Linked DNA regions of Cricetulus griseus. The protein of the gene in region 1 interacts with the protein of each later gene in a biochemical or structural test. Links are inferred from orthologs where the notes say so. Each region holds a gene or a part of one and is shown in the gene's direction. Other genes may lie near its edges.

What was found. The genes of interacting proteins can lie anywhere in the genome.
Region 2: the proteins of Hspg2 (region 1) and Fbln2 form a complex in vitro, tested with the Homo sapiens proteins (2 studies listed by BioGRID). The link is inferred for Cricetulus griseus from reciprocal best matches to the Homo sapiens genes HSPG2 and FBLN2.
Region 3: the proteins of Hspg2 (region 1) and Kdr form a complex in vitro, tested with the Homo sapiens proteins (2 studies listed by IntAct). The link is inferred for Cricetulus griseus from reciprocal best matches to the Homo sapiens genes HSPG2 and KDR.

What each region holds. Positions count from the first base shown.
Region 1 is NC_048595.1:15,783,388-15,794,054, reverse strand, and holds part of Hspg2 (basement membrane-specific heparan sulfate proteoglycan core protein), read left to right. Parts: intron 1-94; coding exon 95-246; intron 247-950; coding exon 951-1,089; intron 1,090-2,319; coding exon 2,320-2,471; intron 2,472-2,665; coding exon 2,666-2,810; intron 2,811-3,821; coding exon 3,822-3,967; intron 3,968-4,275; coding exon 4,276-4,417; intron 4,418-4,974; coding exon 4,975-5,126; intron 5,127-5,471; coding exon 5,472-5,613; intron 5,614-5,729; coding exon 5,730-5,870; intron 5,871-6,470; coding exon 6,471-6,605; intron 6,606-6,761; coding exon 6,762-6,943; intron 6,944-7,529; coding exon 7,530-7,725; intron 7,726-7,928; coding exon 7,929-8,108; intron 8,109-8,346; coding exon 8,347-8,607; intron 8,608-9,720; coding exon 9,721-9,925; intron 9,926-10,667. UniProt on the Homo sapiens protein: Integral component of basement membranes. Component of the glomerular basement membrane (GBM), responsible for the fixed negative electrostatic membrane charge, and which provides a barrier which is both size- and charge-selective.
Region 2 is NC_048601.1:52,560,552-52,571,218, reverse strand, and holds part of Fbln2 (fibulin-2), read left to right. Parts: intron 1-4,467; coding exon 4,468-4,579; intron 4,580-6,637; coding exon 6,638-6,767; intron 6,768-8,650; coding exon 8,651-8,831; intron 8,832-10,534; coding exon 10,535-10,667. UniProt on the Homo sapiens protein: Its binding to fibronectin and some other ligands is calcium dependent. May act as an adapter that mediates the interaction between FBN1 and ELN.
Region 3 is NW_023276807.1:142,422,032-142,432,698, reverse strand, and holds part of Kdr (vascular endothelial growth factor receptor 2), read left to right. Parts: intron 1-923; coding exon 924-1,070; intron 1,071-1,749; coding exon 1,750-1,881; intron 1,882-4,376; coding exon 4,377-4,483; intron 4,484-4,911; coding exon 4,912-5,047; intron 5,048-5,400; coding exon 5,401-5,505; intron 5,506-7,198; coding exon 7,199-7,312; intron 7,313-7,812; coding exon 7,813-7,901; intron 7,902-8,445; coding exon 8,446-8,599; intron 8,600-10,414; coding exon 10,415-10,512; intron 10,513-10,667. UniProt on the Homo sapiens protein: Tyrosine-protein kinase that acts as a cell-surface receptor for VEGFA, VEGFC and VEGFD. Plays an essential role in the regulation of angiogenesis, vascular development, vascular permeability, and embryonic hematopoiesis.

The sequences.
Region 1 (10,667 bases):
GGGGCTGGGCAAGTGAGTGTTGGGGAGACAGAGGTCCCCAGTATTGTCACTATTGTCTAATTGCATTCTCTCCCCTACCCTCCTCTGTCCCCAGTGCCCAGTGTCTCCCCACCAATGAGGATTGAGACCTCATCTCCCATAGTGGTGGAAGGACAGACCTTGGATCTGAACTGTGTGGTGGTTGGGCAGCCCCAGGCCACTATCACATGGTACAAGCGTGGAGGCAGCCTGCCTTCCAAACACCAGGTACTAAGAGGAACTGAGGCAGTGGGGTGGCCCTTCGATCTCTCAGGATGGAGGGCTCCTTCTCACACCTAGTGTACTCCAGCCATCTGGACTTTGGGTAGACAAAAGGCAGCCTCAGCAGGGCCAGCGATGTAGCTCAGTTGGTCGTGTGCTTGCCTGGCATGAGGACTCCCTCCCTAGCGCCACAGAAAACCGGAAGTTGTGCTGTGTTGTATTCTCAGGAGGTGAGGGCAGAAGGATTAGAAGTTCAAAGTTATCCTCAGCTGTTTAGTAAGTTCCCAGGCCATTCTGGTCTGTGTGAGGACCTGAGTTCAAATTCCAGCATTCATGTAATAAGTCAGGTATGGTCCTGCACCTGCCTGTAATCCCAACATTGAAGTTGGCAGAGACAGGGTGCTTCTGGGGCTTGCTGGCTACCAGCCTAGTTGGTAAAACACTCCCAAGTTCACAGAGAGACCTTGCCTCAAAGGAACAAAGGGGACAGTAATAGTGGAGACACCTGACGGCCTCCTCTGACCTCCACATGGGGGCACAACCGTGTGCATCAGTACATCCACACCCATGCACATACATACACACTCACAAAAACACATATACACAAAAATAAGTAAGACAGCCTCAGCAGGCCTGGCAAGGGAGGTTGGAGTCAGTGGGGCCGTGGCTGCTGATCTCAGCCCTGTCTGTCTTATCCCCATCTGTCCCAGGCCCACGGCTCTCGTCTGCGGCTACACCAGGTGTCAGTGGCTGACTCCGGCGAGTATGTGTGCCGAGCCAACAACAACATTGATGCTCAGGAGACCTCCATCATGATCTCAGTCTCCCCCAGCAACAGCAGCCCCTCTGGTAGGTCTGACTCCTGATCCAGGAAAGGGACAGGGAAACACAATTCCCTCGGAAGAGAAACCTTGAGTTGAAGCCCACAGACCTGGGTGTAGGTGAAGGCAAGGGTTTACAAAGAGTGTCTGTGTTCAAATCCTGCTGTGTCACTCCAGCAGTGAATAAGTTACACTTTGTTCGTAGCCTCGGTCTCCTTGACAGTGAAATGGGGACACAGATCACTGCTGCCTCATAAAGCTAAACTGTCACACTAGCCTTGTAGGCAAAAATCGTTAACAAGCCAGGCCCAATGACAAAGGCCTATAATCTTAGCTCTTTGGGAAGCTAGGACAAGAGAATCAAAAGTTCAAGTCCAGCCTATGCAATTTAGTGACACCCTATCTCAAAACCAAAGTAAAAAGAGGGCTGGGGGTGTGGCTCAGTGCTAGGGTTCTTGTCTAGCATGCAAAGACCCTGGGTTCAACCCAAGTACTACAGAAGAAAAAACAGAAAGAAATTTGGTTTGTAGGCTGGGGAGATAGCGCCATCAGTAAAGTGCTTGCCATACTCACATGAAGACCTGAGTTAGAGCCCACATAGAAAAACTGGATGCAGCCTGGCAGTAGTGGTGCACACCTTTAATCCCAGCACTCAGGAGGCAGAGGCAGGAGGATCTCTGTGAGTTTGAGGTCAGCCTGGTCTACAGAGCAAGTTCCAGGAGAGCCAGGACTGTTATATAGAGAAACTTTGTCTTGGGAAACCAAAAATTAAAAGGACAACATTCTGCACTCAGGGGGTAAGAAGCAAGCCAATCTCTATGAGTTGGAGGCCAGCCTGGGCTACAGAGTAAAACCCTGCCTCCAAAACAAATAAATAAATGAATAAAAACAAGATTGATGTCTCTGAAAAATAGCACCTAAGGTTGACTGCTACACACACACACACACACACGTACACACACACACACACACACACACACACACACACAATTTCGTTTTATGCCGAGCACAGTGGCTCACATCTGTAAATAAAAAATAAAGTCAATATAAAAGGATGTTTCCATCACCCCAGGGTACGGAAGTGTGAGGGTTAAGTGTGTTGGTCAAGGATGTGGGTACTTAGAGCAGTGCCTGGCACCCTGATGGTGCTTACCAGGGGGTAGTTGAGACTACCCTGGGCTATGGGTTTTCTGTTCTGTGGATCCTATACCCCACTTGAGAATCCAGCCCAGGCTAATCTGCTCTCCTCTGTCCTCAGCCCCAGCCGGTGCCACACCCATCAGAATCGAATCCTCTTCTTCAAATGTGGCCGAAGGACAGACTGTGGATCTGAACTGTGTGGTCCCTGGACATGCCCATGCCCAGGTCACATGGCACAAGCGAGGGGGCAGCCTCCCTGCTCGACATCAGGTATAAAATGGAAAAGAAATGAGAGAAATGCTGGCCGGGAGTGCTGGTTTGCTCTGCCCAGGAAGTAGGCATGAGACCCCTGTGGGGATACCTCACACACCTGGAGTGGAGGCTGGACCTTGGCTCCCAACCTTCCAGGCCTCTCGGTTGATATCTTATCCCTCATCCTCTGTCTTTGGCCCACCCCTGACCAGGCCTACGGCTCAAGGCTGCGGCTGCACCAGGTGTCCCCTGCTGACTCGGGCGAGTATGTGTGCAGAGTTCTGAGCAGCTCTGGCCCTCTGGAAGCTTCAGTCCTGGTCTCCATTACAGCACCTACCACTAATGCCCACGTCCCTGGTGAGGATCCCTGCATGGGTCTGGAAAGAGAGACAAGGGAGGGAGAATATCAGCTGAGCTGGGTATCTTTGAGGCCTGGAGACAGCAGGTGTCTGATTCCAGACTTCTGCCTCCTGTCTCTTGCCCTCCCTCGCTGTTCCAGAACACAGGGCCAGGCCAGACGGTATGAGTTTCTCTCTCTCTCATGGGCTTGAGAACACAGCTTTCAAGTGTGGTATCAGTGTCCCCACCTGGAGACGTCACACAAAGAACTCTCCACATTGCTGTCCTCCATGGACAAAGGACAGTGGGGCTCTTGCTAGTGGGGTTTTTACCCTCTACTATCTCGATGTATAGGCAATCTACTGAGGTCCCGAGAGCCTGGCCTTGCCCTGTGGGTTGTTAGAGGTCATTTGGGATGGTCTTGATGAGTGTATCTACTAGTTGTGGTATATTAACAACTGCGGCACCTCAGACCTGTTGTGGTTTGAGGTAGTTATTACTAGAGTGGAGCTAAGGACTAGGTTTTAAAATGGTTCAATTAAAGGAAAACAGGGGACCCAGGCATGATGTGATGTCAGTTGCTCAGATCCAATCCTCCTGCTGTTCATATTAACTGCATTTCATCCTGTTAGCCCTGAGGCTGGATGACAGTTCTCCATTTTACAGTTGGGGAAATAGAGACACAGAGGTAGCTTCCCAAAGATCACACAATAAGTGGCCATGCTAGCAGCTGAGCTCTTGCAGTCTGGCCCCAAGGTCTGCATTCCTAGCTACCACCTACTGCAGATTGGGAAGTGTCAATGGCTCTGTGGAGGGGCCTAGCCCAGTGGTTCTGGGAGTATATGGTTGCCTGGGGGTGGGGCTAGGAAAAAAGAGGGGTCCCCATCCTCAGCGAGTCCTTCCCTCCAATCTGAGTGGCCTGAAAAGGAAAAGAAGCCACCTGCCCCTTGAAACCAGTGTGCACAGTAGAGCACCCGGGAGAGACTGAGCAGCCTTAGCCACTGACCACTAGCTGTGCCCTGGCCCCAGGTGGAGTCCCGCCCATCCGCATCGAGACCTCTTCCTCCCGAGTGGCTGAGGGGCAGACCCTGGATCTAAGCTGTGTGGTTCCTGGGCAGGCCCATGCCCAGGTCACATGGCACAAACGTGGAGGCAGTCTGCCCGCCGGGCACCAGGTACAGAGCCTGGAAAGAGCAGCATGTGCCCCTCTTCCTCAACCCCAGTGATCATTTCCTGAGCCCATCCCTGAAGGGAGGGTGGCCCTAGCAGCCCGTGACAGTTTGAGAAACATTGTACAGCCACCTAGAGACAAGTGTTTGCAAACAGACCAGGCACAACAGGATTACCCCCAGTACCCAGCACTTCCTCAAGACCCTACTTCCTAAACTCTACTGTCTGTTACATAGGAGGCAGAGTTTTGTGTAGGCCAGGGCGGGGCACCTAGAGGCAAAGCAGTGCTCCCCACCCTCTCCCCTCTATGCAGGTCCACGGTCACATACTGAGGCTGAACCATGTGTCCCCAGCGGACTCTGGCGAGTACTCATGCCAAGTGACTGGCAGCTCAGGTACCCTGGAGGCTTCTGTCCTGGTCAACATTGAGTCCACTAACCCCAGGCCCATCCCTGGTGAGTGACATGGAGCAGTGGGTGATGTTGGGGATGGTGCTTTCCTGGCCTTGCTTTTTCTTCACATAGGGCCTTTATTTTGGTAGATTTTGTGGTTGCTGCTGTGTTTTGTTTCGTTTTGCTTGTTTTTTGTTTTGAGGGTTGTTTTTTTTTTGTTTTTTTTTTGTTTTTGTTTTTTTTTTTGAGACAAGGTCTCACTTTGTAGCCCTTACTGGCCTCTAACTCATGCTACTCCTCTCTCTCTGCCTCAAGTTCTGGAATTACAGACAGTTGTCAGCATACCTGTCTAGGCATGGCATTGTTCTTGGGTCATTGGCTTTCATATGGCTGAGGATCAAGCCCACCCAGGTCAAAGCTTCCATAATCTGTGTCTGGGTTACTAAGTCCTTCAATCACCCTCAATCAGTCCTGGTTCTCAGCAAGACACCTCAAAACCAGGGAAGGGACACTGCCTTGGCTGATATGGCTCAGCTGTGTCCCCTCTAAGAGTATCACCACAGTTAGGTCCTTACCCTCACCCCAGGAGCCTTGACTGTTCCCCACCTCTGTGCCTGCAGCTCCAGGACTGGCCCAGCCTATCTATATAGAGTCCTCCTCCTCCCACGTGGCTGAGGGACAGACTTTGGATCTGAACTGTGTGGTTCCTGGGCAAGCCCATGCCCAGGTCACATGGCACAAACGAGGGGGCAGCCTGCCTGCACGACACCAGGTACTTGGTCAGGGTGGGGAGAAGCCTGGAGTAGGCGAGGTCTCCTGTAGTTTCCTCTGCACCTAAGCCCCACACAGACCCCAGCATTCATGGGATCGTGGGAAACAGGTATCCATCAGGGAAGAGTGCCCCAGACCAAGAGAACAGTTGCTGAAAGACGTTCCTCCTGGCATTGCTTTACAACTAGCATTTAAACCCATGTCCCACTCAGTAAAGAGAATGTGTCAAACTCGAGAGATTCTGTGCGGGAAGCTCCTTCAGCCCACAGCTGCAGGCCTAGCTCTAGGCCTCACTTCCCTCATCTCCAGAACCCTTGATGGATTCCTTCCCTTACTCTTCTGACAGACTCATGGCTCCCTGCTGAGGCTCCACCATATCTCCCCTGCTGACTCTGGCGAGTATGTGTGCCAAGTGGCTGGTAGCTCCCGCCCTGAGCATGAAGCTTCCTTCACAGTCACAGTCCCGCCCAGCGCAGGGTCTTCCTACCGTGAGTATAGGGAATGTCCGGAGTGGGGAGGGAGGCCTAGAGCCTAGACAGGACCTACCTGAGTGGAGCCAGCCCACCCAAATGAGCCTAGAATCTGACCCTCGGGCTCCATCCAGGTCTCAGGAGCCCCGTCATCTCCATCGAGCCACCCAGCCTCACAGTGCAACAGGGCCAAGATGCCAGTTTCAAGTGCCTTATCCACGAGGGAGCAACACCCATCAACCTTGAGTGGAAGACCCGAAACCAAGAGCTGGAGGGTGAGTGGCTGGCTGCCTGGGCTGGAGGCAGGAGGGAGGGCCATTTGCTGTGAGACACAGGGTGGAAAGCTGGGTCCATGCCATGTTCCCCAGTGGCTCTGAGTGAGGCTTGAACCCATCCATGTAGTGACGGAGCAGGACCCAGAAGACTGCCAGGGCTCCCACTTACCATCTATGACTTCGAGCCCTGTGTCCAGACCCAAAGGATCAACAGTGAACTAGCCTTCCCTCCCTTGGTGTTGATGTGATAAAATACCCTGATGAAAGCAACTGTGGGGGGAAATAGGACTTATTTCAGGCCACAGCTTGGGGATTATGCTCCGTCAAGGCAGCAAGAGCTCAAAGCAGCTGGTCATGTGACATCCACAGCCAGGAAGTAGGGAGGGATGAGGGAATACCTCTGTTCAGCTCACTGTCTCTTTTCATACAGTCCAGAATCTCCTGCCCAGGTGATAGCTTTCTCCACAGTTAACATGTATCTTCCCACACCAGTTAACCTAATCTAGGTAATCCCTCACAGGCCTATCTCTGAGGCAGTTCTAGATCCCGTCAAGGAACAGCTAACACTAACCATCACACTTTACCAATGCAACCCCACAGACAATGTCCACATCAGCCCCAATGGCTCCATCATTACCATCGTGGGCACCCGGCCCAGCAACCATGGAGCCTATCGCTGCGTGGCTTCCAATGCCTATGGTGTGGCCCAGAGTGTCGTCAATCTCAGTGTGCACGGTGAGAAACACCAACCCATGGTTCTGGCCCTCTTGCCAGCCCAGCTTTTCCAGGTTTAAAATCAGTCCCACCACTGCCAGCCCTCTAAGAATGGTATTCAGCTGTGGACTGTGGCTCGTCTGTAACCCAAAGCTCTGCGTGTCATTCCTCCCTCAGGGTCTCCTACAGTGTCTGTGCTCCCTGAGGGCCCTGTGCATGTGAAAATGGGTAAGGACATCACCTTGGAGTGCGTCAGTGCTGGGGAACCCCGCTCTTCCCCCCGTTGGACCCGACTCGGCACCCCTGTCAAGTTGGAGCCGCGGATATATGGACTCATGAATAGCCATGCAATGCTGAAGGTGAGGTTGGGGCTGCGCCATGTCTGGGTCTGAGGTCCTTCCTAGGAGCTGACTGAAGCAGGTGCCTAGAGGCCTAGAGGGGACATAAGTAGATGGACAGATAAGAGGAGGTTAGTGGGGATTGGAAGGTGGGAGAAGAGAGGATGAAAGGAAGAACTAATTAATGACTCAGAAGCCTGGGTGGACGGGTAGCTGAGTGATGGGTAGATTGGTTGCTTAGCAGATAGATGGACCCATGGGCAGTTGTGAAAGTGAACCTTCCAGCAGCACAGAGAAGAGCTAAAAGCAAAGGAAGGCATCTAGGGATACTGCTCAGTTGGGAAAGTGTTTGTCTATTGTGTACCAAATCCTGGTTTCCATTCCCAGAACCACATGAACAAATCATGGTAGCATAGGCCTGTACTTGAAGCATCATTCAGGGTGTGGAGGCAGGAGATGAAGATTGTCACCAAACAGAATTCCAGGCCAGCCCGGGCTACATGAGACCCTAGCTCAGAAAACAAACACAATAATCAAAATACAAAGGAAGGGTTCAGTATCAGTGTCCTCTGCCAGGCACCTTCAAAACCAGACTGTTTTCTTCTAGATCTCATCAGCTAAACCATCAGATGCAGGCACCTATGTGTGCCTGGCCCAGAATGCCCTCGGCAAGGCACAGAAGCAGGTGGAGGTGATCGTGGACACCGGCACTGTGGCCCCAGGCGCCCCTCGGGTCCAAGTTGAAGAAGCTGAGCTGACCTTGGAGGCTGGACACACGGCCACTCTTCACTGCTCGGCCACAGGTGTGGTGTGGTGGAGCCCCACAGAAAGGCAGAGCAGTGCTGCTCTGGGGCTTGGATTCGTCTGAAAATGATGCCACGCCCCAGAAGCATCCACTTAGCCAGTCCCATGGAGGAATAGGTCACTTACAACCTTTTCCTATCACCACACACACTTGATTGATCCCTGGAACAGCCTAGTGACCAAGCCATCTTCAACCCTATAGGCAATCCCCCGCCCACCATCCACTGGTCCAAGCTGCGTGCCCCCCTGCCTTGGCAGCACCGGGTAGAAGGCAACACACTGGTCATTCCCCGGGTGGCCCAGCAGGACTCAGGCCAGTACATCTGTAATGCCACCAACTCTGCTGGGCATACTGAAGCCACTGTTGTCCTGCATGTGGAGAGTAAGTCTCCTATACCCTCTTCGTGGACTTACGTTAGTGTTGCATGGAGGTCTATGTTCCCCTGCCAAGCTCCTCTTTGGGCAGAACCCCAGCATCCCCTTCCATCTAGATGACTCCAGAGCCTGCCCTGACTGTCACCCATGTCTCCTCTTGGGCCCTAGGAGCTTGATTGCATTATCTGGATGCAGCTACCTACTGTGGTTCTTTCCCACCTGATCTCTGTATGTGTGTTCTTCAGGTCCTCCTTATGCCACCATCATTCCAGAGCATACCTCAGTGCAGCCAGGGAAGCCAGTTCAGCTGCAATGCCTGGCTCACGGCACGCCACCACTCACCTTCCAGTGGAGCCGTGTGGCTGGCATCCTCCCTGAAAGGGCTGTTGCTAGGAACGAGCTGCTGCACTTGGAGCTCACAGGTCCTGCAGACTCTGGCCGCTACCGCTGCCAGGTCTCCAACAAGGTGGGCTCAGCTGAGGCCTTTGCCCAAGTGCTGGTCCAAGGTAAGCAGCTAGAGTCTAACTGGGAAACCAGGAGTCAGCTTCCTTGTGGGCCCTTTCTTTTCTTTTTTTTTTTTCCTTTCTTCCTTCCTTCCTTTCTTTTTCTTTCTTTTCTTTTCTTCTTTTTATTTTTTTTTTGGTTTTTCAAGACAGGGTTTCTCTGTGGCTTTGGAGGCTGACCTGGAACTAGCTCTTGTAGACCAGGCTGGTCTCCAACTCACAGAGATCCGCCTGTCTCTGCTTCCCAAGTGCTGGGATTAAAGGTGTGTGCCACCAATGCCCAGCTTTGTTTTTCTTATGTAAAGAGAAGGGGGGGAAAGTGTCTCCCTCCCGGCTATTCATGTCTTGGGCCACCTTCCCTATCCAAGGGCCCAAACTCTGAGAGGCAAAGCCCAGTCCCACACTGGCCCTTGGTGCATCAAATGATTGAAAATGATTGACTATGAGAACAGATGAGTGGATCTGTATTGAAAGGACTATCTGAAGAACATCCCTTGAATGTTGAGATGAGGGTATCCTGGTACCCGGGTATTTCAGGGATATGACGCATACATGTGTACAGAAGAGCCTTGGGTGTCCTGTGTGATGCTGTGGACCTTTGTCCCAGCTCATCAAGATAACTAAGCTGAGGTAGCACTTGATCCTAGGAGTTCAGTACTACTCAGGACAACAGAGGAGAAACCTCATCTCAAAACCCTATACAAACAACCTCATGCCCTTAGCCTGGGGGCGGGGGGCAGAGGGTATGACTTGTGCTTGTTTAACTTACACTGAGTCCTGGCTTCAATGCCCAGCACCATATAAATTAGATGTGGTGACATATGACTGTAATCCCAGCATTTAGGCAGGAAATTACAAAGTTCAAGGTCATCCTTAGCTACTTAATGAATTTGAAGATAGCCTGTGCTACATGAGCCCCTGTTATAGTAAACTAGCTAACTAACTAACTAAATCTCACGTGTCTCCACAGGCCCTTCTGGCGATCCTAACTAACTAACTAAATCTCACGTGTCTCCACAGGCCCTTCTGGCGATCCTAACTAACTAACTAAATCTCTCGTGTCTCCACAGGCCCTTCTGGCGATCCTAACTAACTAAATCTCACGTGTCTCCACAGGCCCTTCTGGCGATCTCCCTGAAACCTCCATCCCAGTAGGATCCACACCCACTGTGCAAGTCACTCCTCAGCTAGAGACCAAGAATGTGGGGGCCAGCGTTGAGTTCCACTGTGCTGTGCCCAACGAACGGGGCACCCACCTTCGATGGCTCAAGGAGGGAGGTCAGCTGCCTCCTGGACACAGTGTACAGGACGGAGTCCTCCGGTGAGCGGTGGTGGGTGTGGACTGGACTCAGGTTCCCCCCAGCCTAAGGCTCAGTGGAACTGACTTACTTTACCTGCCTATGGGGCCACGACAGAGCAATGTCCTTGAGTGAGCTGCTAGTGCTCTCTGAGCCTTAGTTCTTTTTTGTTTTGTTTTGTTTTGTTTTTGTTTTTGTTTTTTTGAGACAAGGTTTCTCTGTGTTGCTTTGGAGGTTGTCCTGGCACTTGCTCTATAGATCAGGCTGGCCTCGAACTCACAGAGATCCGCCTGCCTCTGCCTTCTGAGTGCTGGGATTAAAGGTGTGCACCACCAACACATGGCTGAACCTTAGTTCTTACAGTGGTCAATAAGTTAGGAAATTGAAGGCTGTTCTCTCTAAAATGCTTAGTGCTTTCTTGGAGCCTGGAAGGCCATCTGCTAACAGTGGCCTGTGTTCCTTCTATACTGGTTTGGTTTGGTTTGGATTTTTGTTTTGGTTTGGGGGGATTTTTTTTTTTTTTTGGATTATTTGGTTTTGGTATTTTGGTATTTCTGAGACCAGGTCCCTCTCTGTAGTTCAGGCCAGCCTGAAACTCACTATGTGGATCAGATTGGCTTCTTAATTAGCTGTGATCCTCCTGCCTCCGCCTCTCTAGTACTGACTGGGATTACAGAGGTAAGCCACTGTGCCCAAGTCTACATTCCAGCTATTATTAAAGGCAGGAAAATGGGGCCAGAGATCTGCAGCTCGGTCTCTGATGTG
Region 2 (10,667 bases), on another chromosome or scaffold:
GGTGTCTGTCAGCATATGAGATTCCTGGAAGGGGAAGTTCCAGCTCACAGTTTTTTTTATATTGTATTGCAATGCATTTTTTTTTAAGAACATGAAATTTGCAAGTATCGAGTGCACAGCTGAACAGCATCAAATGACGTCTTCTGGATTGAGATCTCCCATCTTCTGAAACTCTGTCCCTGTCAAACCAGCCCCTGGTGCCCTCCACACTACCTCCTGTCCTTGAATCTGAGTGGAAACACGTGTTGTCTATAGTCTTTGTGTCTGGATTGCTGCTATATCATTTCTAAGTCTTAGCGCTCAGTCTTCACTATGGGATTTTCTAGTCCTGTTACCTTATCCATTGCTGTTTTTGTCTCTTACTGTGTGTGGCCAGTGTCTTTCCCCATTGTCACACTTGTGGGATATGAATGTGTCACATGATGGTTTTGGCCATCACTGGCAACTTGTTGCATCATAGGAACCAACCCTCTGGAGACATTTCTAGCTTGGGCTGTTCAGTGGCGTGGGACCCGGGGCATCTATTTCTTATTTTCCTAATAATAAAATCTGCAAAATGAGTTTGCACATCTTCTCTTTCAGCAGGTGGCAGGGCAGTTTTCCACATCTGTCTCTGCCACCCAGAGGTGTGAGAGGTGGGTTTTGGCTGAGTGGGTGGATCAGGGAGCAACTGTACTATCCGGCAGGCAGGACCCTGAAGCAGAGTCATTGAGAGCCAGGCCAGTGTCAGGCCAAGTCACTGTTCTCCCAGTCATCCTTGGGAGGAATAGGAAGGCCCAACCAATCCAGAGGAGGCAGAAGGCAAAAGGCAGCATCACGGAATGGGCAGTGGTCCAGTCTTCCACCTAGACATTGGTTCTGTTGCTGTGTTGTGATAGCTTAGTTCATTCAGAAGGGTGCAACACACCAAACCATGTATGCAGAAGGAAAGGGCATTCTCTGAGAGGCCCCTTTACTACACATACAGGCATCATGGGCTGGTGAACTTTAAACAATGATGGACACTGAAAGCCTGAATGTCCCACCTAAGAAGCAGAATGTGTGGTGTTCTGGGTCAGTGCTGGGCCCTGTGTTGCCCACTGGAGACCTGAGGTGACTCAGACCTATTCTTGGACACAGGACCCTCCAAGGTTATATTGGGATAAGTGTGTCACTTGTGAGGGTTATCTTGGTATTGTGTGTGTGTGTGTGTGTGTGTGTGTGTGACCAGAAGTGGGTGCTAATCCACCTTCCCAGAGGCAGGTGGGTGCTGGCCAGATGGAGGGGCAGAGAAGTCATATCAGATGGGCTTCCTAAGGCCTGATGGATGGACATTCCCCAGGTAGCCAGGAAGGAGGAGGGTGCTCCTAGCATAGATGCATAGATCATCACCAATGAGGACAACAAGCAGAGGCCCAAGTGACCAGGCAGAAGGGTGAGAACTGCTTTGAAGGCCTGATTGTCACACCGGGGTGTGTGTGTGTGTGTGTGTGTGTGTGTGTGTGTGTGTGTGTGTGTGTGAGACACTTTATCATATAATGGCTTTCCATGCAGTTCCAAGCTCCCTAAGATGGCTCAGAGTTACCCAAGGCCAGCGCAGTGTGAGAAAGGGTAAGTGAGATAATGTGGTAGAGTTGGGGTACACGGAAGCCAGGGTGATCCTCTCTGAGGAAAAGTGATCTCTGAAAAGGGGAAAAGAGCAACCTCTGGTTGAGAGTAGAGGTGAAGCAAGGCAGGAAGAGGGGTAGAAGAGTCTAGGCAGACAGTATAGCAAGTGCTCAGACCCTGGGAAGAAATGAGGCAGAGACACCAAGGAATGAGTGAGCAGAGAAGGGAAAAAGTGGAGAAGGAGGCAGGGCCATCCATGGGACTTCAGTCACAGAGGAGTCCTCATCTGATTCCTGTGAGTGGACAGTCACCTGGGTACCATCCTGGAAGTGACTGGAGGACAGATGAAAGCAGAGGGACACTAGGTGAGGTAGAGCGATGAGATAGGTGGGTGGACTGTGTGTGCTTTGGAGGTGACCCTTGTGGTATAGATTTGTCCTGGAGGGTCCTTAGGACACTCAGGGACTTCACTGACACAAGAAAGTCCTGTGAGGCAGCAATTTAGGCTTCAGGAGGAGGCAAACATCCCAGCCTTGGGAAGCCAGGTCAGCCTGAAGCAAGTCAATTTGTGCTGATGGGGCACAAATTCCTATGGCCAAGCTAGGTATAGAAGTGTAGGAGGAGCCAAGGGAAGGTGACATAGGAGGCCCATAGACCAGAGGATGTCACTAAGAGTCAGAGTGTGATGAAGAGGAGGATCCTTGGTGTATACCCCACAGGCCAGAAGCCAGAGAGGTCAAGAAATCCCCAGAGAGGCTGGGATGTCTGGAGTCAGGGAAGGAGCCAAGCCTGTGGGAGTTGCCTCAGGACCATCCACATTAGACCCAGTCCCCCTTATGCTCCAAATAGGTTGACCTTCCAGCATGAGGTCATAGCTCTAGATGCCTTTGAAGTAAGAAAACCTGGGATGGGAAAAGCCAGGGGAATAGTGGAAGTCTACCAAGTGCAGGCTAAAATCTGGTCTGAGACCAAGAAACTAGAAGAGAAGACCACCAAGTCCATGTGGTGGCAACCCCTTGGCCTGCTGGAGGCTGGGTTCACGTCATTCAAGGCTGGCTGTTGCCATGTTGCCTGGAAGAGAAAGGGAAGAGAGGAAGTGATGTTGGACTCTCTAGTCTTCCACTTCCTCTGGGCAGAGGGAGTAACAACAGCTGGAGTGTTTGGCCTCTCGCCTGGCTTGCTGCTGGCACTCAGCACATTGGGGCTGTCATTGTTATCTCTTAAGACATCCATCATATGTTGCCTGGCCAGGACCCCAGGATCTCTCTCTCTGTCTCTCTCTCTCTGTCTCTCTCTCTCTGTCTCTCTCTCTGTCTCTCACTCTCTCTCTCTCTCTCTCTCTCTCTCTCTCTCTCTCTCTCTCTCTCTCTCTCTCTGTGTGTGTGTGTGTGTGTGTCTTTATGAAGCCCAGGCTCAAATTTGTAATCCTCCCTCCTCAGCTTGCAGAATGCTTAGTTTACAGGCATGTATCTCCCTGTCTGGCTTGTATACTTTTTTATAGTCACTTTTGTAAACAGAGGCTGAGTGGGGTGATGTGATGGGGTTGGGGTACACAGAGGTCAGGAAGACATTTTCTGATGAGATTTGATCCCTGAAAAGGGAAAAGGAAGCAGTCAGCCTGGTTGAGAGCCATAACCCTGCCCCTCTTTGTTTTTAGGGTTTCAATTTGAGACAGAGTCTCACAAAGTTGATTTTGAACTACAGTCTGGCCGCAAGACCTTCTGAGTAGTGGATTACCGGCTGGTTACACCAGGCCTGGCTATTTATCTGAATCTGAGAATCACCTTGACAAACCCCATAAACAGATTGGGTCTTTGATTATAATTGTATTAAAGTTGTAGCTCACATACAGGAGAGTTCATGTCTTGAGTACATAGACCCTTTACTCAAGTATGCATACATGGTATGTGCTTCAAATAAAGTGGTTAAAAGCACTTGCTGATCTAGCAGAGAACACAGGTTCAGTTCCCAGCACCCACACAGCAGCCCAAAAACACATGTAACTCCAGTTCCAGGGGATCTGATGTCCTCTTGAGACCCTTGTGGGCTCTGCATTCATGTGGTACATTTACATACATGCAGGCAAAAAAATAATAATACATAAAATAAATTGAAGAAGGAGAGAGACAGAGACAGATATTCCCTTCTTGTTGGACAACATGCTTAATGCTGAAATCTGGAGTTCTCTTTTAAATGACATTTTTCCTGCTAAATTTCCTATTACTGTATTAAAAAGAGCCACTATTTGAATACATCAATTTTAGTTTTAATTTTAGTTTTAATTTTAATTTTAGTTTTAATCATTGTGTTAATTTTTATTAGTTAGATTTCACCATTACATCCCTGAGAAAAGAAACTTAAGATAGCTCTTAGTGGAATCCCACAAGCCCGCTGAAGCTCTTTTCTTGTCTCCTGCACCATCTGGGCTACTCAGGTCAGGCTCCTCAGAAGCAGAACCAAAGTCAGGGTTTCTTATGTCCGTAATGGTTCATTTAGGGACATGTCTAGGCAAAACAGTATAAGGGTTAGGGAAGGGACTAGACAAGTTACAGGTCAGCTGCTGCCTACACAGTCTGATCCTGTGGGCTCTGGAGTGAACACCCCCCCAAATACACACACACACACACACACACACACACACACACACACACACACACACACACAAGTATGTTTGCATGCTCTTGGAGCCAGCCATTGGCTACCCATTGGCTGCAGGAGGACCAAGTCTCTCCAGTGCTTCCTTAGAAGGGGAGAGCTGGATGTGCAGGGTAGGGGGTGGATGGGGGTTGGGGGTAAGAGGTTCCCTTGCCCAGTGTCTGCAGTACATACTGCACTTGGTGGACCCGAAACCCAGCTACACCTCCTCATTGCAACCCACAGTCTCCACCAAAGACCTGATTGAGACATGCTGTGCAGCTGGCCAGCAGTGGGCCATCGACAATGATGAGTGCCAGGAAATCCCCCAGAACGGTGCTGAGAGTGACGTCTGCAGGTGAGTGGCTGGGGTGGACAGAACTGCTGTTGCTTTCTCTGGGCCCCAGGTGTGTGAAGGTGACCCAGAGTGAATGCAGTGAGCCATCTGGCCAGGCTGATGGAGAGACAGAGAGGTCCTGAGTGTCAGGTGATCACATGACTGGTCCTGAGAGTCAGTTGGCCATGTGGATCTGTGGCTGTCTTGGTGGGCAAATGCAATGGTATGTAATTTAGAACAAGTTCAAAGGGACATCACCACCTTGGGGTTGCTGGGCTCCCCACTTACTGCAGCTATCGCTCCCCCAGCTCAGCCACCCTACATTCTCCACAGCCTGGCTGCCCTCTGTTCTCCTCTGCCACCTGTGCTGTGGCTCAAATGTGTGTGCTCTGCTTGCCCTGCCAGGATTGGGCAGCTATTATCTCCCTTGCTCATCTTTCACAACCTACTCATTTTTTCAGAAAGGAGAATGAAGTTCAGAGAGGCAGTGCGATTCTCCTAGAGCTGCACAGCCCACCAGTAGTATGGCCAGGATTAGAACCCATATTTTCTAATGTCCTGCTCATTCTGCCTCTGCTTCCTCCATAATTCTTAGACAGAGTCTCACTGTGTAGACCTACTGACCTGAAACTCTCTATGTAGACCAGGCTGACTTCAAATTCACAGAAATCTGCCTGCCTTTGCCTCCCAAGTGCTGGGATTAAAGGCATGCACCACCCACCGTGCCTGACCCCAGTCTGCCTTCTTTAGAGAAATTTAAATTCTAACTCTGTCCCTCCCTTTTCCTTTTTGCCACTCCCATTTGGGTTACTGAATAGTTAGAACGTGCACACTATTCAGACCCCAGGCATTTTGAGCTTTGCAGCCATAATGAATACTGACATCCTCTTGAGCTCCCCCACAACATGGACCACGGCTCCACCATTGGACAGTTGATCCCTTTATGTGTCCCTCCCAAGTAGTGTGGAGTCCTTGCCTCCCCTGATCTAAGCTTTGCTGGCTCTCAGCTTCCTCTTCCACAGATTGGCGACGTGGAGAGATGTTGTAGAATATTAGTTTAAGATGTGTTACATTCATTTATGCTGTGGAACATTTGCCTAATGAAGCAAAGATGTGTTGCTTTATTTTATATTGCATCTGTTTAACTCTGTGAAGCTGTGTTATTTTGCCTGCCTAAAACACCTGATTGGTCTACGAAAAAGCTGAATGGCCAATAGCTAGAGAAAGGACAGGTGGGCTGTCAGGGCAGAGAAAATAAATAGAAGGAGAAAAAGAGGGCTCAAGAAGCAAGAGAGGTCAAGGAGAAGCCGGGCGTTGGTGGCACACGCCTTTAATCCCAGCACTTGGGAGGCAGAGGCAGGCGGATCTCTGTGAGTTCAGGCCAGCCTGGTCTCCAGAGTGAGTGCTAGGATAAGCTCCAAAGCTACACAGAGAAACCCTGTCTCGAAAAAAAAAAAGAGAGAGAGAGAGAGGTCAAGGAGAGAGAAAAGAAGGGCTGGCTTCCCAGCCACATGGCCAAACATGGAATAAGAAGGAAAGAAAAGATATACAGAAATAGAGAAAGGTAAAAGCCCAAAGGCAAAAGGTAGATGAGATAAATTAAGTTAAAAAAAAAAAAGCTGGCTAGAAACAAGTCAAGCTAAGGCCAGGCTTTTAATAAGAAAAAATAAGCCTCCATGTGATTTATTTGGGAGCTGGGTGGCAGGCCCCCTAAAGAGTAAAGAGTTAAAAAACAACCAACAACAGAGAGGGCCAGGTAGTGACCACTCTCTTCACCAGATTTACCCTGTCCTTTCTGAGTTTGGGTCTCTCTTTCTCAGGATTGGTAGTGGAACTCTGAATGCCAACACCTTTCTTCAGAGTCAAGGACACAACTCTTGAGGCCAGTGGGTCCCAGGCCTCAGACTTGGTGGGGGTTGTGCCTGCCTTGCTGCCAGTCCTGGCCGCACTTGCTGTAGACCTCGGGCGGGGGCTTCCCTTCTCAGGACTCCACTCCATCTCCCTTCTGTGAGGTGGGGACTGTCACCCTCCAGGGGAGGGTCCCAAGAAGACAGGTACTGAGGCAGCCGCCTGTTTCAGGATAGCCCAGAGGCACTGCTGTGTCTCCTACTTGAAGGAGAAGAGCTGCATGGCTGGCGTCATGGGGGCCAAGGAGGGTGAGGCCTGTGGAGCTGAGGACAATGATACCTGTGGCATCTCCCTGTACAAGGCAAGTCCCCCCTTCTGCAATTGTGGCTGAGATGGGTGACACCACATCTTGGGGGCAGGGTGGGGGACAGACTCACTACCTTCCCAGGAAATGTTAACAGTCATGGCATTGGTCAACAAATCCACAAAGTATGCTTTGAACTCCAGTAATAACCCAAGTGACATCTTGCTTTCTCTGAGGCAGGTCTGGTTGAGTGTAGCAGGGTGTGGTGTGCCTGAAGGGAGTGCCTGAAGAGGTCTTCGGGTGGAGGTTGTGTGGCAGTGCACGGTGGTCCAAGGATCAGTGTGGCTGCAAGCATTGGGAGTTCTAGAAGCTGGTTTCCCTTGCATGTGTCTGCTGGAGGCTGGAGGCAGGCAGGCCCAAGCTGCCTCAGGGACAGGGATAAACCAGGAGGAAGGGAGATGACCTGGTATTAGAAGAGGATCTTGCTGCAGGCAGGCGCAGAGTCCTTCTGTGGTTACCTTTACCCTAAGCCCAGTTCCCTTCTCTCAGCCTCAGTTTCCCCATTGAATAAAACAGGAGCAAGGAATTGCCCATCCTGGGGCAGGCAAGGCCCAGTGCCAGCACCTGGAACTTGTGGCCATGTGGCCTTCAGCAGTGGGTAGTGTAGCATCAGATGAAGGACTGGAGTATCACTCATCGTATCTGCTTGTGGCTGGCTTGGCATCAGAAAAAAAAAATGTTTAGCTGGGCCTGTGTGATTGTCACTGGCTGGTGGCTTCTCTGGAGCCAGGCAATGTAGGTGGCCTACAGCTAAACTCTCTCTGTTCCCTGAATGGACCATTCTCTCCCACAATGGGCTGGCTGGGCCTGGTTCAGATAGAACTCTGAGAAAGAGATTGAAAGCATGTATTGCTCAGCTTTCCTCACTGTGACATGCCTGAGATAACTCCATTATGAGAGTGAAACGTTTCAGGTTGGCCATGCTGCCTTTGGCCCATGGTGAAATGGCATGGCATGATATGCGTGGTAGAGCCAGTTGCTCACATAAGAAATTAGTGTTCCAAAGTCCCCTTCAAGGGCCTCAGTGGCCTTAGACCTGCCCTGGGCCCTGGAGTAGGCATATGCCAAACCCACATTTTAGTGGCATGCAAGCTCTTTAGAAGTCTAGGTTTAAAATGGGCATATGGTCACTTTTATCTTACCCTAGTGACCAAAGCAAGTGATTGGTTACCCCAAGCTGGAGCCACATACTTACTCTCTGAGTTGCTGAGCTGTCCAGCCACAAACTAAGTGCCGGGGAGGCTGGGAAGCTGGAGTTGTTGCTGCACCCAACCTACTGCCACAGTTTGATAATGTAAATCAGATCTCCCTGTGGCTGTTGGCCAGGTGAGTCTACATAGTCTTAGGGATACAACCTCTTTTTTTGTTGTTGTTGAATTGTCATTGTTGAGTGTTAGCTTCAGGTCCCTTCATGGCATGACATGACACCAGGAGCCTCATCACATATACACTCTGAGGAGCAACAGGGAGAGTGAGATGGGTTCACTTCCAAGTAATCCCTGTCCTGAAGCCACCAGGACTGTAAGGTCCCTTGAGAAATGCTCTCTTTTTGCTGAGCTGACAGGATTAGAGTCTGCTTCTAAGGGTGGGGCATGGTGAGCAGGACTGGGCTTCATTTGTAGTTCTTTCCAAAGGGACATTTATTCATTCATGAAAGAAAATTAACATTAGTCCTACCCTTCTCCAGACTTGGGGTATAGGGGTGGGTCACCCTCCACCCTGGGAGAGCATACAGGCAGATAGAGGAACTAGACAATGCTAATTCACCCCAGAGCCTGCTCCAGGCTATGCTCATGGATACCGAATGAGTCACAGGCACGCAGACCGTGGGAAGTCAAGTAGGCTCTGAGGGCCCGGTGCTGACGCTCTGTCTTCCTCAGCAATGCTGTGACTGCTGTGGCCTGGGACTCCGAGTGCGGGCCGAGGGCCAGTCATGTGAATCCAACCCCAACCTGGGCTATCCGTGCAACCATGTCATGCTGTCTTGCTGTGAAGGCGAAGAGCCCCTCATAGTGCCTGAGGTCCGTCGGCCACCAGAGCCTGAGGCCACCCCGCGAAGAGGTGGGTACAGGCCAATTGCCTCCCATGTGGAGGCAATTGGAGGAAGATGGTTAGGGCACTAAGGATGGTTGGGCTGGGTGGCCACAGGCCACGGTAGGGATCCTGGTCCATTGTTGTATGGGGTTTGAAGTTTGAGCTCTGCTCTATAGGGTTCTGTGGCTACTGGCAGGACTCTAACTGTGTGCTGTTGTGGCAGTCCTACACAGTTCTCAGTGCCACTCACCAATCACCAGTGACCTTCAACCATCCCCTCACCACCCTGGCCGCTCTGGCCATATCCACATTTTTCCACTGTTTCCCCATTCCACCATTCAGTTCTGTTTATCTCTTTCCCTATCCAGTCATCTGTCCATCAGTCTGTCATCTGTCACCATTCATCCATCTATCCATCCATCCACTTCTTATCCACCTACTTGCCTATCTGTCCATCCATTCATTGTTATACTTCCCCGTTATCCCCAAATCTACCCGTTATCCACATCCCCCACTCACTCATTCACCTCTTTTTTCACCTACCCCACCACCCCACCACCCACCACCCACCCACCCACCTGCCTGCTCATCCATTTTCACCCATCTCTCCATTCATCTCTCTATCTGCTTGTCTACCCATTCACCCACCCACCCATCCACCAGCTCATCCAAGGTGCTGGTTAAAGACAGTAATTTCTGAAGAACAACTTATTACCCAGAGAGTGGCTCAAAGTAGAGTTCAGGAGGAAACTCAGAATCAGCATCAGCAGTCAGAGCATGACACAGGGGACCGGGTGGACAACACAGCTGGGCGGGGTCCATCCATCCCCCAATGTAACCACCCATATAACGTCATACCTTTTCCTGTGAGGAGCTTCTGGAGTCTTCTGGGTCTGGGAGATACTGGTGGTGGGAACAGACTGTTCTACTTTAAGTCCTGTTTGAAACAGCCTGAGACCTTTCCTTTTCTGCTGGGAGGATGACAGGAAGGACATGCAGATGGCAATGAACAGGGCCTAGCCCATGGAGGGACATGCTGATGTGCTCAGGGACCCCAGCGCCTTGGTCTGCCTCTGCCCAGTCACCGTTCTAGGTCCCCAGAACAGCTGTGCGCACCAGGCCAGGGCTCCTCAGGATGGAGCTCAATGCAGGCACCCTCCCCAGGACATGCCCTTGAGTGCAGCCTCATGCTACCATTCTGTTCTTGTTGCCTGAGGCTGATGGCAAGGGCTGAGGTATTAGGCCAGTGCAGAGCAGCCTAGCAGCAGCAGCAGCCACCGCCACCTTCTCTTCTCACCTGCTACCCTCTGCAGAGTAGGCAGTGGGTCCCAGGACCTCAAAAAGACCCTGTGCTGACACAGATAAGAAAGCTGCAATCAGGGGTCATATCCTGATCTGTCTCAACCCAGGCCAGCACTCCTATGACTCTACTTCATTACTTTAGCAAGAGCCCCCTTTAGGTATGGTCCTGTCCTATTGAAGGGACCCAGGTGGTAAAGACTCAGACTGTTACCATGGATTCACTATCATCTATCCATCCATCCATCCATCCATCCATCCATCCATCCATCCATCCATCCATCCATCCCTCCATCCATGCCTCCCTCTCTCCCTCCTTCACTCCTCTATTGTTACCATCCATTGAGCCTCTGTTGTTTTCCTGGATCCTGTGAGCTCAACCACCCATTGGCCAAGTTGGCTGTGTTCCAAATGCTGACCAACCACCCCAGTTTCAGAGGCAGAGATGGCAAATCGGGAGGCCCTGTCACTGGGCACAGAGGCTGAACTGCCCAATAGCCTGCCGGGAGATGACCAGGACGAGTGTCTGCTGCTCCCGGGGGAGCTTTGCCAGCATCTTTGCAT
Region 3 (10,667 bases), on another chromosome or scaffold:
TGTGCTGTTATAAGGACACGTGCTGTTTCCCAAAATCTATTCTTAGAAACGGATCAGAGCCCAGGACATTCGTTTAAACTATGATGTAATGTGCTCTAGAGATAATCGAAATTTGCTAAGTGTTGAAGTGGATTCTTTCAATGTAACTCTTTTTGATGCTCGTTTGGTTTGGATAAGATCTTTCCACAACAGTTGGATGACTTACAGGAGGAGAGCAAAGCTTGTGTCTTGCTGTGCATGTAAACAAATGCCCATGGGCCCATGACTTTTCATATGGCATTACTGTTTGGTTTGTTTGGATTTTAGTGAAACTACACTGCACTTTCAGCCTCACAACATTCTATTATTAACTCAACCATTTACTTAGTTATAGGGGCTTGGGTGAGATACCTAAACCCCCAAACTGCAATCTCTTCACCAAAAAATAGGGTTAATGGCCTGGGCCTTCATAATATATGACTGATAGTAAATATTAGAAATGATATAAAGTCATCCAATAAATATAAGTCACTCCCTATGTACTTATGCTGAAGTTTTGCCTTTCCCAAGTGAAAACATGCACTCTTAGTGGTTACAACCTTGCTGAGAAGGAGTTGCCCTTGGGGGAAATCCTTACGTGATTGTAGGGGGGGAAAACCTATAATGTGAAAATAATCCCCAAAGATTCCTGAACTGTGGTTTGCATGTAGGGAGATTATTTTGAACATTTAAAGGCTGTCATGGTCAGTCAGAACTGCCCTTCTTTATTAGATTTCACTCCACTCATCCACCAGCAGTGCTCTTGTCACTATCTGGGAAGTTTCAGCTCACTTCATCAATGGGCCACTGCTTCTTAAGTGTAGACTGTCCAATAGTCACAGGACACTAAAGCTGTTCTCATAGTCAGAAGCATGGACTCTATGGTTTCCTTTTTATGTTCATAGAGCGCATGGCACCCATGATCATTGGAAATCTAGAGAATCAGACGACAATGATTGGCGAAACCATCGAAGTTTCTTGCCCAGCATCGGGAAACCCTACCCCACACATTACATGGTTCAAAGACAATGAGACACTCGTGGAAGATTCAGGTGAGTGAGCTTGTCTATTTTTCTAGTGGTCGATTTTTTCTCAAGGATGCTGTGTAAAACTGCTCTCATTTCTTGGTTTATTACAAAGTTGACAGAAAGCAGTATTTATGGGGTTGGAGAGACAGTTAGTCAGTGAGATGCTTGCCACACAAGCATGAGGGCCTGCATCCACATCCCTAGAACCCTCATAGAAAACTAGACTTAGCATCTATCTGTAATACCAGTCTAAGGGGCAGGGTGTATGTGTGGAGGACGGGGTGGAAGACAAGTGCATCCTTGGAGCCCATTTGACAGCCTGTCTAGCTAATCATTGAGTTCCAAATTCAGGGAGAGACTCTGTCTCAAAAGAATAAGGTAGAAAATAATAAAGAAGATACCCAACATTGACCTCTGGCCTCTATGCACACATCTCCCCCAACACTCACACATGCTCGCATGAACACTCAAAAATGTATTTGGGTAAAGGGTCTATCTGGCTCATTTCAGAGCCAGAAGCAGCGTATTTGGAGTCCTATTGATTTCACATGGAGATCCCATGGGAGATAGGAGTCAATCCCATGTGCCTCTTTAGAGTTGGATAATAGCCAGAGCTGAAGGGCAGCAGCAACTATTCTAAGAATTTTCTCAATGCACAGATTGCATCATCAGAAACAAAGCAAGCAATTCCTTCCTCTTTTAGGAATTGTACTGAAAGATGGGAACCGGAACCTAACTATCCGAAGGGTGAGGAAGGAGGATGAAGGCCTCTACACCTGTCAGGCCTGCAATGTCCTTGGATGTGCAAGAGCGGAGACACTTTTTATAATAGAAGGTCAGTGTGATGCCATAGACCCAACAGATTTTTTTTTTTTGGATTAGTCTGTGTTCATAGCCTCAAATACTTTGAGTGGGATGGAATGTAGGTGACTATGCTCTTCATGGTGGTTAAGTGTTTCATATCTAAAATATTTAGGAAGAGATATAGTCCAGCTTTTAGAATTTTTCATATGTTTAATAGATATTTTGTGGAGGGGACCTACATCCAAGCATAAAACTTGTTCAGGTGTCATGTAAACTTTACACACATAGCCAGAAGGCACTTTTACATAACATTTTCAGGGCATCTGCCTGTTGGTTGTGTCTTGTCACTTGAGGTAAGGGACTAGCACTCAAAAAGTTTCTGATCTTGGTCCTCTGGGAGTTCTGAGTTGGAGATTCTCCCCCTGTTCTTCATACTCTGTCTTCAATGGGTTTCTGTTCTTTTAATCAGAAAACAAAATTATGGGTATGCTTCAGCCTGTACCATATTTCCTATTCACGCGGCTCTCACTGTGAGAAAACTTTTAGCCAGGAGTGATGAATAGCCTCCTGTCCCTCGTTCTCACTTTGTTTGAATGGCCAAGTTAACTTAAAGAATTGATGCTTGGAAAATAATTAGATTTGGTGTTGACATTGCTATTCAATTAGTGACATAGGTTCAGAATTTTCACTAGAGCTGAGGCAAGATTCACTCATAAACGATAGATGATTGCTTTTGTGACATGGAAAATTGAGGGTTATTATTGAAAACTGAAAGGAAACCTCTTTCCTTCTACCCTGTGTGTGTGTGTGGTGTATGCCTTTTTTTCAGTCAGCAATCTATGACAGAATATTTCAACTTATGAAGAGCATGCTGAGTCCTTTTTTTCTTTTATAACCTACTAAGAGAACAATGCAACTATATTGTGTGACTGAAGGAGTGGTGTGCAAGGGGATGATTGAGGGAGGTTAGAGAGGCAGGGTTGGCGGATTTCTAAAGTCTAGATGTTGGTCCCTTTAATCTGTCAAACTCACGCTGTTGAATATTGCATCTAGAGTGACTATCATGTTCTCAAATCTGTAAGAATGTTAGGATTCCATGAACTGCAGCTGCAAGTGAAGATGCCAATTGCATGGTAGTTCTATCATCTTCAAAGACATCCATGTCTTAGTGCTGATCTCAGGGAGGATGTGCCCATCAGTTCTCTCTGGTACTCTACTTCCCTCCATTAGCCTTCTGCATTAGGTTACCCTGCCTGAGTGGGCACAGTGGCATGGGTATTGTGGAGACTCACCTGGGGACAATAGCAAGATGTTTAGCTCTCAGATGTTAATATGAGAATATTCATACAAAAACTGGTAGAGACAGTTCAACCTTTGACCTTTCTTCTGTGCCACATGAATAGACTTCTAAATCTTTACACACAGATAGAGAATTATTTCCCTGGGAACCGCAGAGAAACCAAATCCACTTACTGATGCATTCAGAGCTTGTCTCCCAACTGGTAACTCTTATTTTGCCAACTAATTAATTGCTTGTCTTCTGGCTTCTGGCTCCCCACTCCCTCCCCCCAGCTAGCTCAGGGCTCATTTCAACTCATACTGCACACTGGGAGTTGAGAGACAGAGATCCCAAGTGATAATTGTGTCCTAATCACCTCCCTCCTAATCATTTGGTGCTAAGAGCCTTCTGCTGGTAATTCTCCTCTTGGAACACACTCTGGAGAGGAGTCTACAACTTTCTATGCCTTGCTTAGCTTTGCCTTTCTCCTTTCCTTTCACACATCAGTGCCCTTATGTCAGTGGCTTATGCCAGTTTCCCTTCCTTCTCTCTCTCTCTCTCTCTCTCTCTCTCTCTCTCTCTCTCTCTCTCTCTCCTCTCCTCTCCTCCCCCTCTTTATCTTCCTTTCTCCCTTTCTCCTCTCTTCTGCTTTTCACACTTCTGCTATGCAGGGACAGGGTGAAATATTGGTGAGCCCAATTTGGATGGACCTGGTATAACCCTTGAACAACCCACCAACTTCCTGTGTCTCTCAAACAAGTAGCTTAATCCTTCAAATCTTATTCCTTCAATCTGAATACTGAAAAAGTGAAGCAGGTTGTAGGTGTGTGGTCACAGGCAGCTGTCGGGGCAAAGGGCTTCCCTTATTTCCTTGTAGAGTTTTCTAAACAATCACTTTTCCCATGCCACACAAGTGAAAACATTGACTGTCAGCACAAAACCAGACTGTATTACCCACAAATGGAAGTACCTTTTCTTTTTCCCTCAAAAGAAGTCTCTCACCAGACACATCCTATACGCATCTATTAAGATACTTGTGCACCTATGGTTCATTGAGAATCCTATTACTGGATGTTTTCTTGTTCTTTAAGAATGCTGGAAACTCTATCCAACTTAAGGAGCCTGTGGCTGTTGGTCTGTGGAGGTCTTGAAAGTGGATGAGCCTGAGGTCCTGCCTTCATGTCATAGCTTTATCACCTTCTGTCAAAGGCTTTCAGTTGCTGATCACTCAAATGTGTGTCTTCCAGGTGCTCAGGAAAAGACCAACTTGGAAGTCATTATTCTTGTGGGCACTGCTGTGATTGCTATGTTCTTCTGGCTACTTCTTGTCATCGTTCTACGGACCGTTAAGCGGGTAACAACATAATGTCCATCCTGTCCCTTGCATGTTGGTTTTTGTGATTAATGGAACCTGACTGGGCTTCTTTCAGCTGCTTCTTCCCATTGTTATTGATTCAATGGGCACATTTTTACTTCAATACAATAACATTCTTGTCCATTTTCTTTGGCTGAACTATGGACGTTAATTGATGGAAGCCAGTGGAGGGGTAAAGGGTTTGGACTGTCCACTGTAATTAAGATTTAGAAACTCTATTCTGAACTCATTTTGGAAACTAAAGAGGCACTAAAAGCAGGGTTATAATAGGACTTCTCTCAAACTTCATGAGTTTTATTGGAAAATGAGATACCATGAATGGGTTCCCTATTAAACAGCAACAAGTATACAAAACAACAACCAAACAACAGGATCTGTGTGTGAGTGGAAGGGTTTATACTTTCTAGGCCAATGAAGGGGAACTGAAGACAGGCTACTTGTCCATTGTCATGGATCCAGATGAACTGCCCTTGAATGAGCGCTGTGAACGCTTGCCTTATGATGCTAGCAAATGGGAATTCCCCAGGGACCGACTGAAACTAGGTGAGTTGTCAACTGGAATTAACTTGATTTTGATTTTAGCAGTCCACCTAACTCTCCTTAAGACAATGACATGTCTAGTCTATTCATAGGATGCATTCTGATTCATAAATGTTAATTCTATCTCTTGACTTTGGGTATTCATCCATATAGCCTTCTATAAGTAAGGAACCCATACAATCATTCAAAGCAGGGCATTTTAGAGGGTGAAGGGAAAAGCCAGGAGGAGGAAGTAAACCAGGCTGTGGATCTAAATGGAATACAACGTCACCTTAACCAATTAGAATCTTCACAGAGTCCTCTGATAGTGTGACATGACAATCAAATTTTGTAATTATCATTATCATTGGTTCTAGGGAAGCCTCTTGGCCGTGGTGCCTTTGGCCAAGTGATTGAGGCAGATGCCTTTGGAATTGACAAGACAGCAACTTGCAAAACAGTGGCCGTCAAAATGTTGAAAGGTAAAAAGCAAAATGACATTGTGATGTGGCTCCCTCTATCTTGACCATCATTAAGAATGGTATAAGGCTTGCATTGGTGGCTCTGTGCATAGGTTGGCCAGAAGGCCCCTGGCTTCTGGTAGTTTTGCACAAACTGGAAACAGTTCCCTCCTTAAAAAGTGTCATGTAAGGGCACATGACCAGGGAGCAAGGATCAACTAGTACAATTGGGGGAAAACTATCTGGGTCTATTAAAAGTTTTCCTCAATGTATTATGGTGTAAGCTGATATAAACCCTTTGGAAATGAGGAAAGAAGTTTGTTATCAGTAAAAATATGAGAATGCGAAACCATCATGTTCTTTAGAATTAGAACATGCCAAAGAACTTCATTTGCAAAGGTATTTTACGAAGTAAGAGTAGCTATGCAAACAGAAGAGGATGTGGGTGTTCTTTTAGACATCAGCATCTTTTCATAGTAACGGAGCTACAGCCTGGACATTCTGATGAGGGAAAGTGATGTAGGTAAAGCTTCTGCTCCATTTGTGACTGCTTCCATGGAGGGAGATGCTGCTGCTTGTCCTTTGCCAGTAGGTCTTGTGCCTTTCTCCCTTTGCGTTTTCTATCTCCAGGCTTAAGGTAGGTGTGTGCGTGTGTGCGTGCCTGCGTGTGTGCGTGCCTGCGTGTGTGCGTGCCTGCGTGTGTGCGTGCCTGCGTGTGTGCGTGCCTGCGTGTGTGTGTGTGTGTGTGTGTGTGTGTGTGTGTGTGTGTGTGTGTGTGCGTGTGTGTGTAGAGATGGGTCATCAGGCCCTGAGGTGAAACCCATAGTTGTGAGTAAGAAGTGTAGCTGTCCATATAGCTTCAAATGCAGCCTTAGCCCCAGTACGCTCATGTGCAAGCAGCTTTGCTTGTGTGCTAGTCCTGTTAACTTATTTATTTGGTGCAGATCAATTGGAAAATTAGTATAGACTTGAGCAAATTTACCACATTGTGTGTGTGTGTGTGTGTGTGTGTGTGTGTGTGTGTGTGTGTGTGTGTGTGAAGAGGGGGAAGTGATGGAGGACAGAGAGAGAAGAAGAGGAAGAAGAAGGAGGAGGAGAAGGAGAAGGAGGAGAGAGAGACAGAGAGAGACAGAGACACACACACACACACACACAGAGAGAGAGAGAGAGAGAGAGAGAGAGAGAGAGAGAGAGAGAGAGAGAGAGAGAGAATATATGCATTGTTAGAAGACAACTTGCAAGAGTCAGTTCTCTCTTTCCACCATGTAGGTCCCAGGGGCCCAGGGTTTGAACTCAGGAGTTGTTAGGCTCAGTGGGCAAGTGCCTTTATTCACCCAACTCATGGTCCCTAGATCTGAGAATACTTAATGTATGGGACCCTTCCCTATGAGGAATCATTGAAGTGATTATGACCTAAGTAGCCTATTATACCTGAAAATTCCAGTTTTGTATAGAAAGAGAATCTGGCTTTGATTCCACTGCAAATATGTTCCCAACTTTACAAGAAACTCACCTTAGATTCAGGGTTTGCTTAAAATAAAGCCTTGCTTTCTAGTTAGAAAACCGAGTTTGCATTTGACATTTCAGAACACACCATTGCTCTGTCAGCTATAGCTGCCCTCTTCTGGGAGAGCAAGTTGTGTGGTTAAGTGCACCCATCATCCTGCAGCAATGGCGACAGTTAACAGTTATTGTCTTTATTCTGAATTTGTAGAAGGAGCAACACACAGTGAGCACCGAGCCCTCATGTCTGAACTCAAGATCCTCATCCACATTGGCCACCATCTCAATGTGGTCAACCTTCTAGGTGCCTGCACCAAGCCGGGAGGTAAGTAACTGCTGTGACTGCTCTCGGGAGTTTGACTCATAGCTCTCCCTCTGTTGGCGTTTGAAGGAAGCAATACTTTGAAGAATCCTAAATGTACTATGCTGCATAGAAATTTAGTGGACACCATAATCAAATGATTCTGTAGCATCCTTTGAATTAAAGAATAGTCTCATCATGGGGAGATGTTTTGTTAGATGGGAAAAAGGAACATTCCCCAGACCTTGGCAGGAAAGAAACTCTCATCATCTCCTTTGCCTCCCATCCCGTAGTCACCTCAGCTGATTGCTGATGTTTGGATTACTCATGTAGAATCATCTTTTTGAAAAAGAAAAATTGTAATAGGAAGGATTGGTGTCAGCCGATGTCGCCCACCCTGTTCCTGTGAAAGGTTAAATGTAGCCTTCTTCTAGGGCAGTTTTGGGCTTATCAATATGCTGAGCACATAGTGAGAAGTGTTGGTGAAGTGCATTTTCTTTCTTAACTCACTGTGTTATTTGCAGGGCCTCTCATGGTGATTGTGGAATTCTGCAAGTTTGGAAACCTATCAACTTACTTACGGGGCAAGAGAAATGAATTTGTTCCCTATAAGGTATGTCGTTGTCGTCTGCCTGAGCATGGTCATACAGAAAGCAGAGCAAAACTCAAAGTGGCTCACATATGTCTTTTAGTTGGAATTCTTTGCACATTTCCCTGGTTGTCTTAACGTCCACTTTTGTCTTCTGGGGGTTGTAGGCTTCTCATATTTTATTTTTAGGACTTTAATCTCCTGACCCATTACAACGGTGCTAGATTTGATTAAGGAAAGTGTAGGGCCGAGAGAGCATTGGTTCTAGATTATAGTCTGTCACCTCAGTCATATGTGGCTCCATGAGGGTTCATCTCTCTGTAAAGAGGACACTAATGGAAGTTTGTCCAAGTATTCCTGGAGACACTTGGCACTTGACACTAAAGAGAAGGAGCTTGGTGTTATAGAAGGAACGCTGGTAAAACTCATTCCACATTTCAACTCAGAGACTGTAATCCCAGAGTTGTCTTTTTTGTTTGCTTTTAATAATTTCAACTGTTTGTGACCTTGCAATGCATTAGAGACCCATTCTGTATTTGAGGAATTCACACAGTCCCTTCTTTTCCAGAGTAAAGGGGCACGGTTCCGCCAGGGGAAAGACTACGTTGGGGAGCTCTCTGTGGATCTGAAACGCCGCTTGGATAGCATCACCAGCAGCCAGAGCTCTGCCAGCTCTGGATTTGTTGAGGAGAAATCCCTCAGTGATGTAGAGGAAGAAGAAGGTACCTGCCCTTGCTGCCCATGCCTAATGCACATCCTCTTGTAGAAAGAGACGATGACAAGTTACTCAGCCATGGGGGAAAGCTTCATGGATGAAAGAAATCCAAATTCCTAGGTAGCATCCAGTCAAACTTATCTAAACTATGAAATCCCTAAATAGACAGTGAACTCCCTTGGGAGGCAAAGCATGGTTATCCTGAGAAGTCCAGGCAACTCCGTGTGCTAAGCTGTCACTAGCAATCAAATCAATACTCTGGTCCAGTACTGGATCAGAATTTATTGTCAGTCGAGGTTGAATGCTATGTTCGTAAAGAGGATGGGAGCTCTTTGGCACTTGACTAGCCTTCATTGCCATAAGTGGTTCAGACCCAATAGTGTGCATCACTAGCACACAGAGGGCCCTTCAGTTATCTCTACCTGGCCTTCTCCAAGATGGGTTAGCACATATCTGCCGTTTTCACTCCACTCCAACTGGCTTCTCACACCCCCCTTCTAGCCATGCTTTATGGTCCTGATGGTATTTTAGTGGTATGTATGGGTGGAGCTGGACCTCAGCCTCACCTCCAATGCTTCAATCAGCTCCAGGACACACTGTACATCTGCTTCAATCAGAACGATCAGGCACAGCTGCGTGGTCAAAGTAATGGGGATGCCTAAGGCCTGGTTCTCTTGGGAGTGTGAGTTTAGACAAACACAACCCCACTTCTGTTTCCCCTGCCATAAGCCAACTGACAGATCTTAATCTAACTTCTTTGTCTTGGAAGCTATATAGTTGGCTGGTGGCTAGGGCTTGGGCTAGAGGGGCATAGGGAAGTTGTCTAGACCTGCCGTCAAAAGGTCTGCAGTTAAGTGGGTCGTGTACCCTCTTGCTCACAAATGGTAGCCAGTGAACTAGAAATGCAAGGAGTTAGGAGTAGGGATTGAGGTGTAAATGGCTTGGAATTTCAGGCTTGAACTTTGCCTCTATGTATTTATCTGGAAAATGAAGAGGGCTTCACTGTTCCTAGCCATGTTGCATCACAAGTCATTGAGGAAGAAGTCTCAGCCTTCTTAGTAGTAACAAGGCTATTATGGCAACTGAGTTTGTGTTTACTCTGGTCTTGTGTCCAGGAAAGAGACAGTAGCCATATCTTACCTGATCTAAGTTAGGAGAACATTTCAAAATACCCATGGGTGGCTCAGTGTTTATATGTATCAGTTGTGCTGTAATAAATACTATCAACTTACGTAAATTAATCTTTCTTTCATGTTGTTGTCACTCACTCCTAGTCTTAGAGGAAAGTCTCCTCTACAGGCCAGACTTAATGTGCTTACTGCGTGTCTTAAGTTTGAAAGTGAGAGAAATAAATCTCTTTCTGGTATTTTTAGTTATCTGTTATAGTCTGTAGTTTGAACTTTGGTCTTTGTCCCAGGAGACAAAAGCCCAGAGAGAAAAGATTTGATGACCCTCAATATTGTTGTTTTATTTTTAGAGTTCTTAATATGAGCTATTGTTTTCCCCTCTGAGTTCATGGGAAAAAAACAACTTGAGATAGCAGACTTTAAAAGATCCTTTTTCTCTCCTTTCTGATCTATTCTGATCTCATCTCTATTCTCCTTTCTGGGTTTAGTGGCTCAATTTGACTAAAATGGAGAAAACATTTTTTCCCCAAGGAGTAAGATGAAGGCTAATAACTTGGGGTTTAGCAAATGGGCAGGCGCTCTCCTTCTGTCTCCTGAAATTGGCTCTCAAGTATTGAAGATACCACTCGGGCTGACTTAGAGCAGAGCTACTGACTGGTGAGAATACTCAACTGTGTCCTCTTGCCTCTTCATAGCTGCTGAGGACTTGTACAAGGACTTTCTGACCTTGGAGCATCTCATCTGCTACAGCTTCCAAGTGGCTAAGGGCATGGAGTTCTTGGCATCAAGGAAGGTATGACAGGTCAAGGGGGAGGAAGCTTTCTCTTCAGATCACAGGCCTAGAAATGAGACATCTGCTTGTGCTATTTGGAAATTCATGCATCACTTTTAGGATTCTTAAATGTGTTCCCCTGGGGAGGCTCTGATTCTGCTAATAAAAGGTGGCTA